Linked DNA regions of Cricetulus griseus. The protein of the gene in region 1 interacts with the protein of each later gene in a pairwise test. Links are inferred from orthologs where the notes say so. Each region holds a gene or a part of one and is shown on either strand. Other genes may lie near its edges.

Region 1 (4,755 bases):
GAGTACTCCAAAATAAAGTGAACTGTGTTGGGAAAGGACTTGTTCAGCTCTGAAGTTTACCAGTACAACCACACCTCCTGAGAGTCAGCGCCTGTCATCCTGCGTCATAAGCACTGAAAAAAAGGCACTACTATTTCATGTAATGCTGAGAACAGTGGAGTTCCCTGCCTCACAACAGCAACTTAATGAGGAGAAAAATCAAGACTTCGGGGATGCACCCTTTCTTCAAGAAACAATGCCTTTTCTTCCGTAATGAAAATGGAAGCATCCTAAATTTGCCTTAATACCAGGCTTATAGCTTCCATAATTAAAAAAGATGCCAGTTCTCTTCGGGCAGTAGTAAAAACAGGGCCAGTAAGCCCCGATATGGCCTGGTCTTTCAATTCCAGGGATGATTTCACGCTCCCGAAACGCATAACTAGAACGAAAACTTCACAATCTTCAACTTTAATGGTCATATTATGGACTACCTTGAACCTGCTTTAAAAAAAAAAAAACTTAAACATGGTGATCTACCTATCCTACTGGTTCTTTAGCGAAAACCTCAGTGTCCACAGAGTCAGGGGAAAGTTTTGGTGTATCCTGGGGCGGAAAAGGAGGGTGGAAAAAAGTCCAAATTCCCAGGCCCGGTAAAAGCAAAGCGCCCAATCGTCCCGAGCCAGGTAAGGCTGGGGTGTCGCGGCGTCCCCCCGAGGCCTCCCCGCCAGAAGGTCTAAGAATCTAGGGGCCACGTTTCTCCGCGGGTCCCTCCGCCCCAACAACCCACGTTTGTGGTTCGCAGCACTAGACACCCGACCGGCGAGAAGACCCAGGGAAGAACCGGCGGGCGGGGACCACGGGGTCCGGGCACTTCCCGCGCACGGACGGGGACCGGGGCTGATAGCCTGGGGCCTAGCCTCGCTCGACCACTCCTGTCACGGAACACAACGAAAGTGAATTCCCGGGGAGAGCGAGGCGCGGGGCCAGTCACCTGCGGTGTAGGTGTGAATCCCGAACTAGGGTCCCACGCCGCGCTCCTTAATGGCAACGAAGAGACTCGGCACAGCAGCCCCGGACGCCGAACCTCCTCAGCGTGCGCTTCGCTCAGCCCAGCGCGCATGCGGCCCCGCCTCTCACTGCGCAAGCGCCGACAGAAAAGGCCCTTCGTCACCACGACCATAGAGTCGTGGTCCTCCAAATGCGAGCGGTGTGAACCGCAGGGCGGCCTGAAAAATCCGCGTCCTCGGCGCTCGGTAGATTTTGCGGAGAGAACTTGCAGGGCTTAAAGAAGAGGACAGAGCCGGCTTCTTGCTCCAGAATGGTTACGTTTAAATTTTAGTCCACCGACAGACGGCGCTGTAACGAAAGACGGGAAGCCGAGGAAGGGGAGGGGCGTGATCTTCTGATTCGTCACTCGGAGCATGCTGCAACCTGCACCGGCGAGCCGCCGGCGGGAGGGGCTGTGGAGGGACCCGGAATTCCGGGCTGTGCGCGCCTCCACATCCGGGCGTCCCTCGCGTCCAGCCCTCTCCTCCCTCTCAGTCCTCTCGCAGTAGGAACCGGAAGTAGGGACCGGTATTCCGTAGCCTCTTAGCAACGCGAGAGGGTCAAGTGACACCGTCAGCTGACTCCCGTGGTGGAGGACGCTGTGGTAGCCAGTTCTGGCGGTGTTGCAGTCACGATTGCTCGGCTGGGGGCCCGAGCCGAACAGTCACCGTTAGGATGTCGGGCAAAGACCGGATTGAAATCTTCCCGTCGCGAATGTAAGTGAAAGAATAGGACAAGTGGCTCCAGGGTCAGGAACACCTTCCCGGAGCGCATCCCTGCGAGCCCTCGGCCGCCAGCGAGCTTCCCTGCTTTCTGGGCCGCTCAAGAGCTTCCCCCAGGGTCCTTCTGCCCCCTCGTCTGCTCCTCCTGAGGGAACAGACTGGGGAAAGTGTGGTTCCAGTCCAAACGAAAGAGGGTCCGCCTGCTGGGCTTTCCTCATTTTCCCCACACACAGTTTACATAACTGAGTCATCACCATCTTTGCCTCACAGTGCTGAGGGGAGACGGAGAAGCAAAGGTGGTTTTGACCAAAGCTGTCAGACGGAATGGAAGCGTATAGACAGCCCCTAAGCCGAAGTGGCATTGTATGAGTCGACCTAGCACAGCTGTCGGTTTTAATCTTGGATCCCGTCCAATGTCACCTGCCGTGGGAACAGACAGACCCGCGCTCCCGAAGCACCCCTTCAACCTCGTGATAACTGTATTCTTTTCTACCTCTAGCAGTGTCACTCAAGACGTTGTCAATCGGATATTTGTGTGGTGGGATCTTCTCTCCCACCAATCTATGAGCTATCTCCTGGATGAGGGAGGCATCTTTAAATGCATAGGAGGTCCACAGAAATGTTCCTTGAATCCCCGCCTTGGGATCAGCTCAGTTGCAGGCTGCCTTTCTGTTTTGGTCTGACAGCTTTGTCAGGGGAAAATGGCGTTTGTAAAGGAAATTTTGAAGTTTTCCTCAAATATGCATAATAACTTACAGATTGTTCTTATTTGTGTTCTCTTGTTTCTGAAAAAGGAAGTCAGTTTTTACTCTGATCTATAGGTCTTTTCATTGAGCTTCTGTATTGGGGTGGGTGGGGTATGTGTGTGACACTGTAATGTTTTCCTCATCCTTTTTCTTTCCTCCTCACAGACTCCGAAGACTCTTTAGTTATATTTAAACCTTAGACTGAATTTCTGTCTCTGCCAGGGCATGTGTAGTTCTGAATGAGTGAAAGACTTTTAATTATTATTATTATTTTGGTTTTTTTTTTTTTTGAGACAGGGTTTCTCTGTATTGCTTTGCAGGTTATCCTGGAACTCGCTCTGTAGACAAGGCTTTCCTCAAACTCACAGAGATCTGCTTGCCTCTGCCTCCCAAGTGCTGTGATTAAAGGCATGCACCACTAACGCCTGGCTTTAATAATTTTTTTAAAAACCCTTTTAGCCTTCACCTCACTGACTTTGAAATGGCAGATTGTACTAACTGTACAAATGGGCTAGTTGTGGAGAAATGCAAGGCCTGTGAAACAGATAAAGATCCAGACTTCCCTAGGGGGTGATTTCCAAACTCAACATGTAATGTAAGCTTTACTGAGACACCAACATGGCTTCTAGAAACCAGTGGCAGAGTTCTTGCCTAGCACACACAAGGCCCTGGGTTGAATCCTCCAACTCCTCAAAAGTAAAATTAACCATTGCTGCCTGAGGCAAACAAAACTCAAAGCTGACACAAGTAAATACTTGTGTCAGCTAACACCTGATCCTAGACCTCTCTTCCACAGAACATATATTAATGGGTATATCCAATTGGATATATATTTTGTATAAATCATGTGTCAGGGACCTAAGAGAACCCTTCTTTGAAAGGCAATGGACCAGAAGGATGATGTCTCTGTGTCTCTGTGGGAGACTAGAATCCTAATTTGTCTGTCATCAAGCAGATGCAGCTGACCCAGTCAGGGGTAGACTCACCAATCTTAGTGATTTTCATTTTTCATCTTCTTTAAAACACCCAGGCATATCTTCATGTACCAGAATGGAGCTCACTTTTTTTTGTTTTTTTGTTTTTTTTGCCTTGCTGTCAGTGGTCTCACTCTTTCAAATAATGTCTGGCCATATTTAATCACTATTCATAATGCTGATGCGTTTTTATTATCACTTTGGAACTTTTAATTTAGGACTAGGAGCTTCTTTGGGCTTAGGCAAGAAAAAGGATAGTTGTGTGAGGGTGAAAACTGTTATTTGAGAACATTCAGCTGGTCTAGAGGAAGTCGGGTGTAGGAAGTAAATATTTTTTCCACAGCTTGACAGCAGGTTATTTGTCATACAGTGAGATGTGTTTGATTCAGCAGGAGACAAAGTCACTATTTTAGCTGAAGGTCATACTTCTTGTTTCTTTGTTCTTTTCTTCTAAGGCTGAGCAGCTCTGTAACAGAAAGGAACAGGCTTAACAGCTCTAGGCTAGATCACACAGTACTGATTGTGACTCTATTTGCATACATTTGGTGCTGTTGTCTGTGGAATGTTGCTTTCATTCAGGTATCACTAGAGAAAATGAAACAAATTTAGGTGGAAACAAAGGAGGCCCAAAAGGCCTAGGGATGTGGCTCAGATGGTAGAGCACTTGGCCAAAATGCACAATGTCCTGGCTTTCAGCCACTAGTACCACATAAAACTGGGCATGGTGGCTTATGCTTTAAGGCCAACATTCAAGAAGCAGAGTCACGGTCATGAATTCAAAACCAGCCTGGGATAAATGAGACCCTGTCTCAAGCTGGGGGAAAAAAAAAGGCACAAAAACTTAGAGTTAATAAAAGTCAGGTAAAGTCTAGGTTCTTGTAAATGTTCGGACAAGTCACCCTTTTTTCCCTCTTCTTCCCTTTCTTTTTCTTTTTCTTTTTCTTTATTTTTTTTGTGGGATAGCCTTATGTATCCTAGGCTGGCCTCTAACTCACTATGTATATATCCCAGGCTGACCTTCAACTTCTAGTCTTCTTGCCTCTACCCCTCAAGTGCTGGGATTACAGGCATTCACTACTTCATATTCAGCTCATTTGCTCTTGAAGCTCAGTAACTGAAAACTTCCTATTCACAGAAGTACAGACATCTAGAGTGAACTCAAGTTTTAGTTTATTAGTCAGTTCATCTATGAGCTCCAAATTTGTAGGTATCTGTAGTGCTACAATCAACCTAAATCGTGTCCAACTTTCTCTCCCCCCTCCGTGTGTGTGTGTGTGTGTGTGGGGG
Region 2 (4,210 bases), on another chromosome or scaffold:
CCTTCACAAACGCCACCAGACCCCCGAAGGGGGGAGACAGCAACTCTTCAATGAATTCCTAGAGAGAAGTGCAAGCTGGAACTGAGTCAGGGGTCCTGGGAACAAAGGACCCCAACATGGACTGGGAGGACTAGGAGGGGACACTCCACAGAGCAGCCGGCCTTGGGGAGGAGGGGAGAAGTGCTTGGTCCCCAGAACACAAAGTGGAAGAAGCAAGAAAGGAACCCAGTCCTGACATTGTCCTATGACCTCCATGTGTTTCACAACATGTGCCTGGGAGTGCGCTCACATATACGTACACACACACACACACACACACACACACACACACACACACACACACAAATAATGCCCTGCAAAGCAGGTGTAAACACACACATACATACATACTTATATACACACATACATACACCGTTATAGTTTTTTGCTTTTAAGTTATTAATTTATTGATAAATTAAATGAGACAGACTAGCAGCAGGCAGTGAGTTGTCACCATGACTGCACACTGAGGTCTCCCTGCCAAGCCCAGGCCCTACCTGTGTCCGCGCATTGAGCAGCTGCTGGAAACTCTCCACCTCTTTGCTGTCGTCAGCAGCCCGCTCCTAAGGAAGACAAAGAGTGAGGAACTTGGGAACAGCCTTCAGCCCAGCACCTCCTGTAATCGCACACCACACCGCAGACACTGCCAGAATCCAGGGCTAAAGCCCCCTTGGTGAGGCTGACGAGCATGGGCACGCCCCGTGGGGGAGGGCAGCATTACCATCAGCACACCCAGCATCATGTCGTAGTTGTTGATCAGAAACACGAGCTGCTCCTTCCTGGAGGAGAACTCCGCAGCCACTCGGAGGACAAAGTTCTCCACCTCCACCTGCAAAAGCCAAACAGAGAGCAAGTCAGAGACACAGGTCCCAGGGCCCCTCCCCATGCTGGGAAGCCTGCCCGCCCCGCCCGGCCCACCTGGAGCTGCCCCAGCAGCTGCAGGGTGCGCTCATTGGGGATGGTCTGGTTGATGCTGACAAGGGCAGACGAGAACTCGGCATAGCGGCGCGTGATCTAGGACCAAGGAGGGGAGACGCCCATCAGCCTGCCAGGCCGACATAACCTCCCAGCAGCCTCTGCAGCTCCTGTCCCCAGTCCCTCCTCCTGCAGTGGCCAGCCCACCGCTGCGTGTGACCCCGAGACCCCTTGTTATCCTCCCCCGCCCTCACATAGTGGGGCCGCGTGTCCAGTCCTCCGAGGCGCTGGGGGTCGGTGGTGCGGACACTCTGGACGTTCATCTCCAGGATCAGCTCAAACCGAGGCCACAGCAAGGCCAACACCTGCTCCCAGTACCTGCAGGGTCAGTCAGAACCAAAGGTCAGCAGGCTACGGGTGCTGGCAGGCCATGGGGGCACAGCACCCTTCAGGGGAATGTGAGCGGGTGTGTGTGTGCCTGTGTGTCCGTGTCTGTATGCACGGATGTGTGTGTGTGTGTGTGTGTGTGTGTGTGTGTGTGTGTGTGTGTGTGTGACAGGGATGCTGCCTTGGGGACACACACAGGATAAGGGTGAAGGACATCGGGTGAGGAGGAGCCAGGGGCAGGGTGGAGTTGTCGGTGTGAGATAAAAAGCTGGACCCAGCAGGCACCAGGACCAGAGCTCAGTGACCTGTCCAGAGCAGGGACATCCCTCTTCGATGCAATGCTGCGGAATCGGAGGACAATGTGGATACAGAGAAAAACAGCAATGGCGTCATAGCAGTCGGCCAGGTAGGACTCCAGGTGTTTCTGCGGCACAGCAGGCAGACAACTGAATGCTAGTTTGAAGTTCCAGTGGCTATGAGCAAATGGATGTGCACTTCTGGGGACAAGGCGCTGGCTAGGGAGACACCTCCTTCCTTGTCCAGGGGCCCTGACTTACTCACTGGCCTCAACTCTGTAAGCTCCTCACAGTTGAAGCCAGGGCTGAGCCTGGGATGGAGGTAAAGGATCGCGATTTAGAGGTCTTGCTCTCTGCTTGTGGAAACAGAGGAAGCAGCAGGTCCCCCGAGTTCTGAGGGTTTCCTAGGGGGCCATGTTGTGAGATAAAGGCTTGGACAACGTAGAACGGGACATCCTGCATTCAATACTGCCACTGTGACCCCACTGGACGTGGAGGAGCCCTGGGAAGGGAGAGTAAAAGCACAGAATCGGGGACTTACCAGAGTCATGGCGAGCGTGCGGCCCATGACAGCATGGAACAGGTCATGTGCAGCTGGGCCAGACACAACAAAAAATTCACAGATGAAAAGATACTCCCGGCAGGAATTGTCAAGGAGCGCGTAGTGCTGGCTGCGGAAGAGAGCTTCAAACGGATACTACGGGACAGAGAGAGGGGTGGATCCAACACTGACCCCGCAGATACGGGGGCTCAGTGTATCCCAGGAACCAGAGCTCGGAAGACCCCACACATACCTCACCTCCAGGAAGGGAGGGGCACCCTGGGGGCGCACAGGACACAAGGAAAGCCCACCCCACTGGCTGCGGCCATCCCCACATCCACTCCAGCTGCTGCCTCATGACAGCCACCCCACGACCAGTCTCCCTCTGCACCCTAAGCCCATGGCTCCTGTCCCCACAGCGCAGCAGGCGAATTGATCCCCAGCCACGGAGGGGGCCTCCTCATACCCTCTGCTCCCCACGCTGGGCAGTATGGGGCACCAGGATGGGGGCCTCCAGTTCGGTGGGGGAGATGACCGCACCACGGGTGCCCAGGGTGAAGATGGTGTTCCTGCTTCGGAGGGACGGCTTCGAGAAGAATCGTGAACAGCATCAGAGTCAGGGAAAACACTGAGAATGACCAAGCAGGCCATGAAGCCAAGACCTGAGCACTCTGGGAAGCTAAATATGAGCTGGACATCCCTTCCAGAACCAGGGCCTCGCTTCACCTGATACCTGTAATGGGCGTCAGGGATTCTACAAGCCCTCCGAAATCCACGTGAAAAACTGTCAGAATGATGTGAGCCTCTGGGAGGGGAGCTCTCGCTCTCTCTCACATCCTCAAAGGTTACATCCCAGACACAGGGTAAGCAGAGGCCTGTGGGCTGGAGCCAGGCATCCCCACTGTGAGCCTGACAGGAGGTGAGCCTGACTTGAGGGAGGTGAGCCTGACTTGAGGGAGGTGGAGCCTGACTTGAGGGAGGTGGAGCCTGACTTGAGGGAGGTGGAGCCTGACTTGAGGGAGGTGGAGCCTGACTTGAGGGAGGTGGAGCCTGACTTGAGGGAGGTGGAGTCTGACTTGAGGGAGGTGGAGTCTGACTTGAGGGAGGTGGAGCCTGACTTGAGGGAGGTGGAGCCTGACTTGAGGGAGGTGGAGCCTGACTTGAGGGAGGTGGAGCCTGACTTGAGGGAGGTGGAGCCTGACTTGAGGGAGGTGGAGCCTGACTTGAGGGAGGTGGAGCCTGACTTGAGGGAGGTGGAGCCTGATTTGAGGGAGGTGGAGCCTGACTTGAGGGAGGTGGAGCTTGACTTGAGAGGGGTGGAGCCTGACTTGAGGGAGGTGGAGCCTGACTTGAGGGAGGTGGAGCCTGACTTGAGGGAGGTGAACCTGACTTGAGGGAGGTGGAGCCTGACTTGAGGGAGGTGGAGCCTGAATTAGGGAGGTGGAGCCTGACTTGAGGGAGGTGGAGCCTGACTTGAGGGAGGTGGAGCCTGACATGAGGGAGGTGGAGCCTGACTTGAGGGAGGTGGAGCCTGACTTGAGGGAGGTGGAGCCTGACTTGAGGGAGGTGGAGCCTGACTTGAGGGAGGTGGAGCCTGACTTGAGGGAGGTGGAGCCTGACTTGAGGGAGGTGGAGTCTGACTTGAGGGAGGTGGAGTCTGACTTGAGGGAGGTGGAGCCTGACTTGAGGGAGGTGGAGCCTGACTTGAGGGAGGTGGAGCCTGACTTGAGGGAGGTGGAGCCTGACTTGAGGGAGGTGGAGCCTGACTTGAGGGAGGTGGAGCCTGACTTGAGGGAGGTGGAGCCTGACTTGAGGGAGGTGGAGCCTGACTTGAGGGAGGTGGAGCCTGACTTGAGGGAGGTGAGCCTGACGCGAGGCTCCCTGGTCCAGGATATCTTTCTTTGCTGTGTCTTCCACACCCATCAGATCGTCCTTCTCAGCAACTTCCTCGTACTAGAGAAAACAACAGAGAGCTCAACCATGGCTGCCCACCACCAGCAGGTGAGGAACTCAGTCCCTCCTCCAAGCCCCT
Region 3 (4,710 bases), on another chromosome or scaffold:
GGATCTTTATATAGAGAAGACTGGCCTTGAACTCATAGAGCTCTGCCTGCTTCTGCTTCGAAGAGCTGGGATTAAAAGTGTGTACCACCATGTCCAGTTTATTTAAGTGGATGTTTTGCCTGCCTATGTGTATGTGAACCACATACATGCAGTTCCCTTAGAGGCCAGAAGGAGGAGCTAAAGTTACAGAGTATTGAGCTACCATGTAGATGCTGGGAATTGAACCTAGGTCCTTCAGAACAGTGTTCTTAAACTCTGAGCCAACTCTCCAGTTCTCTTATTTTTTTCTTTTAATGTGTGTGGTGTGGTATGTGTGTGTCTGTGTGTCTGTGTGTCTGTCTGTCTGTCTGTGTATAGATATGTGCACATGAGTGCAGGTGCTTGAGGAGGTCAGAGGCATTGGATTTCCTTGGAGATGGTGCTACAGGTGGGTGTCAACTGCTGATGTGGATACTGGGAATTGAACTGGGGTCCTCTGCAAGTGCACTGTATGTTCCCTCTCTCTAGCCTAGATCTAGTTTCTTGTGTTGGACTAAAGAAGTCAGTTTCCCATAACCTTTGCTGCTGTTGGTCTCTTCAAATCAAACTCTATGGCACAAATAGGGCTTTGTTTCCTCTTCCTGCTAATGCAGATATGAGTTTCCCATTGGCATTGAACAGGTTGCAATACATGGCCAGTTACAGCGGTATGCATGTACTCTCTTCCAGTTCCAGATTGAATTAGTTTGAATTAGCTTTGTGGTGTCCATGGGGTTGTGCTCCCTCTGGGGTTCTGGGGAAGAATCCACTTTCCTGCCTTTCCCAGATTAAGCCCCTATGCTGAGAATAGCCTGCACTCAGGACTAGCCAGGTGACACCAGGAACAAGCTGCTGGTGCCAAGGGGTCTCCTGGCTATTACAGATAGAGGAGTCCTGGTAAGTGAGCTTCCCTGAGACACCACCCTGACTCTGAGCTGGACTCAGGATTACACTTCTGAGTGCAATCTACAAGTGATTTTGGCTGGTGACTTTGTATGGGCCGCCTTTTCCCACCCAGTGCGTGGAGTGGGGAATGCCCCAAGCAGGGCTTTATCATGAAGCCTTCTCTGATGGACAGTGTCAAGCAGGGCCACTTAGCACAGACTTTCCGTGGCCCCGAGGGCACCTACAGCAGGATACAGCAAACCCTTTCCATACTGGGAAAGTGACATAGTCCTTGAGAAGGACCTCACACTCCTCTCCAATGCATGTCCTCCCTGTTTGTTGGCACGGGTCAAACACATTGGGTCTATATCTACTATCCAGGCTGGAATTTGGTCTGATCTCCACCCGTTAAGTGTAGCCTTTGAGAGCCTTAAGAGAAGTGATGGGAACAAGACTGGCCAAGATAGGACGAGGTCGTGGGTAATCTAGGCTGCACCTCAGGGAGATGGGAAGAATGCGGATTCCCGGGGACTGGGGAGGAGCGGTGCTGAGAACAGAGTTCTCTAGGCAGCCTTTGAAACCGCCTGTCTGATTCTGACCACGCAGAGGAGCGGAAACAGCAGGACGGAATCAAATAGAAGTCTCAAGCTCTAGCGGGCCAGGGTCTTTACTGCCTGGCTCGCTCCGTTGATCGCCGGGTGGGGGACAGGAGCGGAGAGGGACGCCGTTCGGAAGCGAGAGGAGGAGCCCGAGAGCGGACGGGAGCGGAGCCCTGCTTGAGGGCGTGGTTTGAGAGGATTCGGGGCGGGGTTCTGGGCGGGGCTCTGGGCGGCCCCGGTGCGCCGCTGCGTTCCACCCTTCCGGCACGGCGTTCCATCAGCTGCTTGCACCTTCCGCCTAGCTCCCGCTTTCCGCGCGGCGGTCGCTGAGTTTCATCTTTCCGTGGCCTCTGCGGCGCCCGAGCCCGCAATGTCGGGCCCCAACGGGGACCTAGGCATGCCGGCGGATGCGGGCGCGGAAGGCGAGAATGACAGCTTCGGGGAAGCAGGTGACCTGGGCGAGGGAGGGTGCTGCTGAAGTGACCTCTGCTTTGCTCGGGGTGCTGTCCTGGAATGGGGCCGGGATGGAGGCTGTGTAAGGGACTGAAGAGCCGTCCCACCCCTCCCCTGGGTGGTTCTGGAGTTGTCCCCACAGCCACCTCGGAGGCAATGGCGAGCACTAGTGAACGCATCCCTGGACGCCGCAATACTGGGGAACTGTCGCTAAGCAGCCCAGGTTACATATGGGGAAACTGAGGCGGCTTCAGACACGCTTTATCGGTTTGGGATTTGTTTCAGCCACTTTCTTCGCTGAAGGGGAGCAGGTTCTGCTTGGCCCTGCAGGTGTTGGCCTGGTGGGCGCCCCATATGCTGAGTCAGCACCCAGCCACCTGGCTTTGCTGGTGTGACCCGCTTACCAAGGACTGTGTTGGGCGCACAGCACTGCGGAAGGACTTCAGGGGAAGGGTCAGTCCACAGACTCCCTTTGCACGTTTTGGAGCCTCAGTTTTCCCATCTGCAATATCGGGTACATTGGTGTCTACTGTTTGGAGATGTGTCTGGATTAAAGGGAAAATGGGATGACTGTTCCCATTTGTTCCAGCATACAAGTTCCTTCTGAAAGTGGATAGATAGTCACACACACACACACACACACACACACACACACACACACACACACACACATTTCAAGTCTGGTCCTTACCCAGTGGGCAGGACTTGTGCAGTAAGAATGGAGTATGCTTTTGTTCTGTTATAAAAGCTTTATTGAGCTGTATGTCACACAATAGAGTTTACCATTTAAACAGTACAGTTCTGCAGACTTTCATATATTCACAGCATATCCATTATCACAACAGTTTTAGAATATTTTCATCACCCAGGTTCTGCTCTTAATGAAGGCTGCCTTCCAACTGGAGGCAGGTTGGGTCATTAGGCTTACAGTGGGCAGCCATGGTGGGGACATCATGAGGGGACCTGGTGAGGGGGCAGTGTAACACTGAGTAGACAGAGGGAGGAGGCTATCTGACCCAGGACAGGAGCAATGGTTGGGAGGTACTCTTGACATAGATGAAGCCTAGTCTGGAGACACCGCTTCTCACCTCACCGCTCTGCTAGCCTGCAAGACGTGGAAGGATGGATCATAACAGCTATGCATTAAATTCTTGCTGTGGCCAGACCCCAACTGAGCTCTTGGTGCACTGGAACCCTACCTCGGTGTTCCCTACTGCAATAAGGAGTTGCTGGGGTACAGCAGATCTGGAACTAAAACCTAAGGGTCTCTGACCTTCAGGTCTGAGTTTTGGCCCTGTCACCAAGTAGCTATGAGAAGCTGTTCTGGTTCCTTCTTTCTTAGGCTTCAGTTTCTCAATCTGTGCCATGAGGGATGGACTTTAAGACCCAGCAGTCTTCAGAGGCTCTATCCTCCTTGAGGGATGCCTTCTCTGGGAACCATCCCCCAAAGGCAGGCACGTTTGCAATCATATCCCAGACACCCTCCCTGGGCCTTTTTCTTAAATCCACCAGCTACTTCCCCACTGGTCCCAAGCTGGCAGCTAAGTGTTTCTGAGTCATGGGCTGGCTCAGAACTGTGTCCCGCAGTGGGCACAGACCCAGACCTTGGGTCCTAAAGGACATAGCATTGCCAAGAGGCATGTCAGAAGCTGATGTAGAGGAAAATAGGAAAGACTTCTCAGAGGGGGGAAGACTCCAAGGAGGAGGTATTTTGAGCTGGTCCTTGAAGGGCTGTTGTCGATGAATTCTAGATGGTAGACAGTTGAGCAAGAGCAGGGACTGGAAAGTCAGAGCTTCATTCATTCATCCATTCACTCATTCATTCAGTAAGTACTTATCTGTGTTGTCGAGGGCACTGGGGAAACAGCAGAGAACACAAGACCCGTCACCTCTCCCAGATCTTTCTAGTTGAGTGTGAGGTTGAGTACAGGCCAGCACCCAGATAGTCACAGTAGTGACTCCTGATGGGAAAACTGTGGAAGGTGGTGTCTAGAGGACCAGGACAAAGGCCTGATCCAGGGTGGGACGGCCTTGGTGATATCCATACCAAAACTTGAAATAAGTGGAATTCATCCCAGAGGGAAAGACAAGCAGGGCACCCAGTGTATTCAGAGGACCCGAGATAGGCTGAGCAGGTAGGAGGGGAGATGGGGATCAAGAGGGAAGTAGGGGCTGGGTCTGCTTCAGGGCCCAGAAGCTGCGGGGCACTATTGGGAAGGCAGAGAGAGCCACAAAAGGGCTGGAGGTCACATGCCTAGCACAGAGCCTTTGACTGCCCAGCTCTGGAACCTGGGTTCTGACTTCTAGGTAGCTGTGGAAGGAAACACAGAGGAAGCTTGGCATATGATAGGGCCACCAGCCAGGACACTGGCAGATTGCCCCAGCACCACACTAACCCTACAAAAAAGATGTGCTAAAGATGATTTGACACTTTGCCTCTTGTAGTACCTGTTAATTTCCTGCATGATGACACTGAGAATAAGAAAGTTGTGAGCTGGGACATTGGGTGCACTTGTCTGTCAGCCCTAAGGAGACACTGGACCTTTCCTCTCAAGGGTGAGCTGGGACACTGGGTGCACTGTGTCTGTCAGCCCTAAGGAGACACTGGACCTTTCCTTTGTCTTTTCCCTCCTCCCAGAGTATGCTGCCATCAACTCCATGTTGGATCAGATCAATTCTTGTCTGGACCACCTGGAGGAGAAGAACGACCACCTCCATGCCCGCCTCCAGGAATTGCTGGAGTCCAACCGACAGA

Evidence for each region.
Region 2: the proteins of Atp6v1d (region 1) and Vps52 interact in binary tests that used the Homo sapiens proteins (3 or more experiments, as listed by UniProt). The two-hybrid records come from large-scale screens. The link is inferred for Cricetulus griseus from reciprocal best matches to the Homo sapiens genes ATP6V1D and VPS52.
Region 3: the proteins of Atp6v1d (region 1) and CUNH9orf16 interact in binary tests that used the Homo sapiens proteins (3 or more experiments, as listed by UniProt). The two-hybrid records come from large-scale screens. The link is inferred for Cricetulus griseus from reciprocal best matches to the Homo sapiens genes ATP6V1D and BBLN.

What each region holds. Positions count from the first base shown.
Region 1 is NC_048598.1:124,781,203-124,785,957, forward strand, and holds the start of Atp6v1d (V-type proton ATPase subunit D), read left to right. Parts: upstream 1-1,545; 5' UTR 1,546-1,701; coding exon 1,702-1,742; intron 1,743-4,755. UniProt on the Homo sapiens protein: Subunit of the V1 complex of vacuolar(H+)-ATPase (V-ATPase), a multisubunit enzyme composed of a peripheral complex (V1) that hydrolyzes ATP and a membrane integral complex (V0) that translocates protons.
Region 2 is NW_023276806.1:232,050,526-232,054,735, forward strand, and holds part of Vps52 (vacuolar protein sorting-associated protein 52 homolog), read right to left. Parts: intron 4,132-4,210; coding exon 4,074-4,131; intron 2,779-4,073; coding exon 2,645-2,778; intron 2,335-2,644; coding exon 2,179-2,334; intron 1,766-2,178; coding exon 1,647-1,765; intron 1,333-1,646; coding exon 1,209-1,332; intron 1,054-1,208; coding exon 958-1,053; intron 869-957; coding exon 761-868; intron 603-760; coding exon 537-602; intron 59-536; coding exon 1-58. UniProt on the Homo sapiens protein: Acts as a component of the GARP complex that is involved in retrograde transport from early and late endosomes to the trans-Golgi network (TGN).
Region 3 is NC_048599.1:144,112,133-144,116,842, reverse strand, and holds the start of CUNH9orf16 (UPF0184 protein C9orf16 homolog), read left to right. Parts: upstream 1-1,761; 5' UTR 1,762-1,872; coding exon 1,873-1,951; intron 1,952-2,705; exon of another isoform or gene 2,706-3,039; coding exon of another isoform or gene 3,040-3,060; intron 3,061-4,400; coding exon 4,401-4,511; intron 4,512-4,593; coding exon 4,594-4,710. UniProt on the Homo sapiens protein: Essential for intermediate filament organization in intestinal cells, interacts with intermediate filament and regulates intestinal lumen morphology.